2 linked regions of the Sus scrofa genome follow. The protein of the gene in region 2 binds, or shares a complex with, the protein of the main gene of each other region. Links are inferred from orthologs where the notes say so. Each region holds a gene or a part of one and is shown on either strand. Other genes may lie near its edges.

Region 1 (3,654 bases), on a different chromosome or scaffold from region 2:
CGCAGTGGTTAACGAATCCGACTAGGAACCATGAGGTTGCGGGTTCGGTCCCTGCCCTTGCTCAGTGGGTTAACGATCCGGCGTTGCCGTGAGCTGTGGTGTAGGTTGCAGACACGGCTCGGATCCCGCGTTGCTGTGGCTCTGGCGTAGGCCAGTGGCTACAGCTCCGATTCAACCCTTAGCCTGGGAACCTCCATATGCCGCGGGAGAGGCCCAAGAAATAGCAACAACAAAACAACAACAGCAACAACAACAAAAAAAAAAGAACCCGACTAATATCCATAAGGTTTCGATTCCTGGCCTCACTCAGGGGATTAAGGATTCAGTGTTGCCACAAGCTACAGCACAGGTTGCACACGCAGCTAGGCTTGCTATGGTCTGATTTGATGCCTAGCCAGAAAACTTCCATATGCCATAGGTGCGGCCCTAAAAAGAAAATTAAAAAAAAAAAAAAAAAAAAAAAATCATGGCAGTTCCTGTTGAGGCTCAGTGGTAATGAACCTGACTAGTATCCATGAGGATGTGGGTTAAGGATCTGGCGGTGCCATGAGCTGCGGTTTAGGTCACAGACATGGCTTAGATCCCATGCTGCTGTGGCTATAGTATAGGCCAGCAGCTACAGCTCCGATTCGACCCTAGCATGGGAATTTCCACATGCTGCAGGTGTGGCCCTAAAAAGCAAAAATAAACATATTTTAAAAATTATGACTTCTTAGAGTCAATGTTCTGTCCTGAAATTATCACTAAGAAAGCAAGTAGTATATTGGCCTGTAGGCCCAATCCTAATCTAGTCAATAATTATTTGCTTAAAACTTTTCAGAATTTTAAGCAATCTCAATCTTAAAATTGGTTCCCTAACTGTTCACTGTAAACATTCGGTCATGGTACTCAACTGTGCTAAGGACTATTAGGTATTTTCATGTTCTCATTCATAAAACAATATTTCCTTTTAATGTTGCCATATCCTCTTCTTTTTTTTTGGCCACATCTGCAGTGATCCCACACCATAGCTGTAACCAGAGCCATAGCAATGACAACAACAGATCTTTAACCCAATGGGCCAGAAGGGAACTCCCCCAAATTCTATTCTTTTAAAAGCTACTCTGTAGTTCTAAGATTATATGAGTAGCACTGTGAATGTTATCTATACATTATTTATTGGTCAGTTTTCCTTTTTAGGCTAAATATTAATTTTTTGTCTTTCTTCAAATACCACCATCTAACAATATCTTTAAAATTTTTATTGTACCATCATCAATCCTATTATCTCTCTCTTGACATAATTAAGTGCCAGAAATTTTTTGTTGTTGTTGTCTTTTTAGGGCCGTATTTGCGGCATATGGAGGTTCCCAGGCCAGAGCTCAAATCAGAGCACAGCAACGCCAGAACCAAGCTGAGTCTGCAACCTACACCACTGCTCACGGCAATGCCAGATCCTTAACCCCCTGAGCGAGGTCAGGGTTCAAACCCACATCCTCATGGATGCTAGTCGGGTTCATTAACCACTGGGCCACGTCGGGAACTCCCAGAAAATATTTTCTCAGAGTGACAGTGACCAGAATTCTGCTGGTCTTTTTTTTTTTTTTTCCCCCTGTCTTTTCTAGGGACGCTCCCTCAGCATATGGAGGTTCCCAAGCTAGGGGTCTAATCAGAGCTGTAGCCACCGGCCTACGCCAGAGCCACAGCAATGTGGGATCCAAGCCACATCTGCAACCTACACCACAGCTCAGGGCAATGCCGGATCCTTAACCCACTGACCAAGGCCAGGGATCGAACCTGCAACCTCAGGGTTCCCAGTTGGATTCGTTAACCACTGTGCCACCATGGGAACTCCCTCCTGCTGGTCTTTCAAAAGGAGTATCGCAAAACTCCATAAGATCTTTAGAAGACATTTTAATAGACTTAAAACTACTGACAAGTCACTAGGAAAACTGGATTGGATCTGGAGACTACATTTAAAGCCCCCGTGAACAAGTACTATGTTCTTTTTAAAAAGAATAACCTACAAAAAAAAAAAAACCCTTTTTTCCTAATTTACTCTACAAATACGTATTCATTGCAAAAATTTTAAACACAGTAAAGCAAGAAGTCACTCCAAAATTCTACCAGAGATAATGAGTGTTGTTGATTTAGTATACATCTAATCTTTTTTCCTTTACATACATGCACTTTTTTTTTTACCAAAATGGGAAAATACTACAAATATTATTTTATAACTTGCTTTTTCCACTTATCTGACAAATATTCTTCAATACAATTTTTAACATCTGCATGGTCTTCTGCTGTACCATGGTGCACATTTATTTAACCAATTCTCTACTGTATATTACAATGTTCCCAGTTATTGATCACTATAAATAATACTATGATAATCCTTGTGGCTAAATCTTTAAGCGTAGCCAAGATTATTTCCTTGTAAATTCCTAGAAAGTAAAAGATACTTTTCTCTTTTGCCACTTACACTAGGCAGTATAAACTGGACAGGTACACAATAATTACATGCTGAATCGATACGCTAGAATAAATAAGGTACTAGAAGCGTCTCTGAACATGTCCAAGAAAAGGAAAACAAATGCCGGCACTTTCCTTATTCCCCCCTAACTTCGGTTATTTTCTCTAAATTGCCCAGTAAGGCAATTTAGAGTATGGTTTTACCTAAAGCAAATAAAGACGTGAATATAATAACCTTTTAAAGGGTTCTAATGCTAAAAAGTTTAGAGAAATGGAATCTATTGTGCCCAAAAAGTAAAAAAAAAAAAAAAAACAACTTTCTCAGATGTCTCTGTATTCTTACCTTTTGATGGAACTGAAGAAATCCCAAATCTGTAGAAAGAAAAACAAGCTAAATTTTAGGAAGCTGTTCACACTCCTGGTTGTCTGTCTCCGTTTTAAGTGTACATATGGCACTCCTTGCTTGTGATCTCAATCCTTGCAATCATTAGCTAATTCTAACAACCCCATGAAAGAGGTTCAGTTGACTCTTTTTCTCACCAAGAATCCAGAGAATAGCTAAAAGGAAGTCTTATCAGAGTTGAGAGTAGCAGTGAGTTCCTGACTTTTACCTATTATTAAAAATTCTGCTTGATGATAAAATCCAAACTATATCATACCTTTCTTTTAATCAAGGCCTCTATTCTCTTAAAATCAACAATTACATGTAAAACCTAGGAACCCACTCCCTTAGCTTCCTAGTGTCACTATCTCAGGTCCAAAAGGCTGGGGACACTCACCTAGCTGCCCGGGCAGCTTTCTTACTTTCCAAGCTCACAGGTACATTGAATCGTTCAGCTCTCTTCTGCATCCTCTAAGTGATAATGGACAAAAGAAGTAGAAGAGAAAATTCAATTTCTGGTTTCCTTCTTCTAAAAGAAAAGTTGTTTAGAGGTGCGTATCTTTAGAACATCATTTTTTTTTACCAAAATGGGAAAATACTACAAATATTATTTTATAACTTGCTTTTTCCATTTATCTGACAAATACTCTTCAATACAATTTTTAACATCTGTATGGTCTTCTGCTGTACCATGGTGCACACTTATTTAACCAATTCTCTACTGTATACTACAATGAAAAATACAATCAGGAGTATTTTCTTGAAGTCTAAACTGACAATCCTAGAGGATATCAGGTTGTATCCAGCCCAAGGCTTAACTC
Region 2 (3,270 bases):
AAAGCCAAGAGGAAAGTTTTTAAGTCCCATTCCAGGGTAGAAAGTGCACATACCAAACCAGCATATTGCTTATGTGGTGCAAATGTACACTGTGATACCCATAATCAAATCAGAGCTACCAGGTGTAACCTGTTAGGTGGCCCTGTAGCTATGTCAAGGTTCCTCATTTACCATACTAAAAACATCAATGTGGCAGAATGCATTTTTGAGCTCCAGATTTTAAAAGCCTCTAAAGGAGGCTATTAAAAATGATGCAAAACTATATCTCATAAACCTACACATTAAGGAGGAACACCGAAGGGCTCTTTCTGGGACTTTTTCATGGGGGCACAGAGATGAACAGAAAAAATGTTAGAATGTCAAAGTATGTGACAGGTGAGGGGGAGGCAGAGGCGAGAAAAGGGTATACTAGCCATAAGGCCAACACATTTGTGTTCAAAGATAAGTCTGGGCAAAGGAAAAAAAAAAAAAAATCAAAAACCAAAACCCACCTCAAACAATACAACAAAACAAAACCCAAGTCAGAGGAAAAAAGTGTTTCATACAACACAGTATCAAAAAGTAAAAGGAACACACTAAATGCACAAACTTGTGGCAAGTCAGTCCACAGCCTATTATGATAGGTCCTTCCAGCATCAATCAGGTTTCTTCCCATCTGTTATCTCAAGGTTATTTACAGATGTGTGACTAGAACAAGAGTCTCACAGGAGGGCGAGCAGGCTTCAATCATTGGTTTCAGGATCTGTCTGTGCCATGTAGGCATCCAACTCAGCATCCAAGTGTCCTTTAGTTTTCGACATGTATGCATCCAATTGGTTGTCCAGCTGCTCCTTGGTCAGTACAGGGCGAGCAAGGGCACCTCTCCCTCGTCCACGTCCACGGCCTCGGCCTCCAAAGCCCCCTCTTCCCCGGCCTATCATACCCCGACCTGGCCCAAGGGAAAAAGAAGAAATAGTTACAAGTAGGTTTAATAGGTGCTATGGTAAATGCCCCTCAGAGCAGTGGGGCCTAGCTGAGAGAGACTGAAGGGCAGGGCAAAGAGGAGAAATCTGGAAAAACAGGAAACACACTGGGTAGAAAGCAACACATGGAAAGCACACATAATGAATCCCTTATTACATGCTCCTCTCTAAATGCTATTTAAAAATTTTTATTCTATCAACAGAGGGAAAATATTTAACTGAAAGTTAAAATTGACTCAATCTCTTCTAAAATAGAAGCTAAAACTTGAGACTCACTGTAAGTTTATAATTAAAATACAAACACACTATAGATAACCCCATGTAGTAAAACAGGGAGGAAGTAACAAGGGCACAGAAAAATGAGTGTAAAGTTTTTAATTAAACTTTATTGGACATCCTTCTGAAAAATTAGCTTGTCTCTCCTCAAACTTATCAAACCTAATGAGCTGATCCCATGTCAGGAGACTGAGGAGTTATTCTGACATGGGAACAATGAAGGGAGATTAGGGAAAAACATTCTGAGTAGTGCCAGCCATTTCTATCTGCAATTCTATCCACATTTTAACAAATATGGTTATCTGAGAGGTGGTTTCAATTCACTTAACAAAACACACCCAGCTTTCTGAAAAGCTACTTTAGAGCCTCCCCCACTCCCATTCCTGTGATGTCTCTCTCAGAAACCAAGTCAAGATAATTTGGAAACATGCTATTTCATCCTGAAACCCAAACTAGTTTGCCCTTCACTCAATAAGCCAAGCAACATATAATGCGAGAGAAGAAAACAAGCCCTCAGTTATCAAATTTCCTTTCCCAGTAGTTATTATCCCCTGGCAGCTTCAAGGTCATCAATTATGGAAGACCCACCACACACTTTAAAAAAGATCAAAGCAAATATACACAGGGGCAACAAGGATGTATTTTTTTTCCTGAACAGGTGTTGTTGGGAGTTTTCCACAAAACTTTAAGCCAGAAAATTCCCAGGAGATTTGGTATTAACAGCAACACCATAAAATCTCTTTTCCAATCTGGGCCATGAAGTCACGTGACAGGTATCACTAAGTCTCACGATGAGATTATCAACAAGAGTCAGTTAGTTAACTGACACAATACCATCTTGCTTTTCTAATCTTGATCAAAAAAAAAAAAAAAAAGTCATCTCTGGTTTCACACAGACACCAACTTTACCTTAAATTTACTTGGTTTCAGAGTCAATACCTAGCACCAAGCCTCACCATCCTCTTTAACTGATTCGTTTCTGTACATCTCTCTCTTCTCTAAATCTTAGGCCCAAAAGTGGGGTTACGAGCTGTGGGATGGGGTGTGTGGTGGTGGGGCCAGGGACAGAAAAAGATGAAACCCCATACTGACAATTTTATCACTTTAATGATACAATTTAAATTTGCAAGAGCCTGAAAGACTGACTATAACCTGGCTCTGTAACACATACCTGACTGTTCTTGGAAAACCCATGACAGACTTTCACACTACCAGCATGTGAATTTAGAAAATAAGCCAGTTTCATAAAACAAACAAGACAAACAAATAAGCCTGCCTATGACTTGAAGCTGTGCAGAAAGGTGGCTCTGAGTTTTGAAGGGAGAGAAAATAAGGGGGTGCTATTCTCTGAAGTTGGTAGCTGACTAACCTCTACCACCGATTCCGCCACGACCCATAGCTCCACGCCCTAGGCCCCCTCTCCCAGGACCTCCACGACCTCGAACACCACCTCTTCTTAAGCCCATTCGGGGAGCTACGGCTCGTCCACCTCGGAGCAGGTTTTGACCTTGGAGAGGAGGCATACAATGTATATGCAGGTAAATCCAAGAGAGACAAAGTAGATTCTAACCAAAGGAAGGCAGTGAGGGTTAAATGAGTTAATTCGATTAATTTTTAGGTTGGGTGGGGCAAGCTGCACACTGAGTGTCAACAGATTAAGCTGCTCTTTATTCAATCAATTCAACAAGTCTGACCACAATCCATTTTTGGAAGCTGGGAGTTAGATCAATTAGTAAGTACATACATTTAATAAATACCTATTGAATAATCAGGTGCCTAGCATTATGGTAGATTTAAAAATAAATGAAATGGTTCCTGCTCTTAATACATTTTTGTAGGAGACAAAAACTATACAGGGAACAGTGTAACAGTGCCCAAAAAAGTAACATATAGCTAAATGCTATGGGTCAACTTGTCCTCTTTTTTCCAATGCAATGGAGTGTTTCACTGGAACCAGGAACAGAGATGTTAAGATATAGGCCAACAGACCTATACATTTCTTAGATTTGACTTATATCTAGAACTTGAATGT

What was found.
Region 1: CHTOP (region 2) and SARNP share a complex: the UniProt entries of both Homo sapiens proteins name them as parts of the transcription/export (TREX) complex. The link is inferred for Sus scrofa from reciprocal best matches to the Homo sapiens genes CHTOP and SARNP.

What each region holds. Positions count from the first base shown.
Region 1 is NC_010447.5:21,241,841-21,245,494, forward strand, and holds part of SARNP (SAP domain-containing ribonucleoprotein), read right to left. Parts: intron 3,305-3,654; coding exon 3,231-3,304; intron 2,824-3,230; coding exon 2,795-2,823; intron 1-2,794. UniProt on the Homo sapiens protein: Binds both single-stranded and double-stranded DNA with higher affinity for the single-stranded form. Specifically binds to scaffold/matrix attachment region DNA. Also binds single-stranded RNA. Enhances RNA unwinding activity of DDX39A.
Region 2 is NC_010446.5:95,996,362-95,999,631, forward strand, and holds the end of CHTOP (chromatin target of PRMT1 protein), read right to left. Parts: intron 2,746-3,270; coding exon 2,608-2,745; intron 929-2,607; coding exon 723-928; 3' UTR 523-722; downstream 1-522. UniProt on the Homo sapiens protein: Plays an important role in the ligand-dependent activation of estrogen receptor target genes. May play a role in the silencing of fetal globin genes.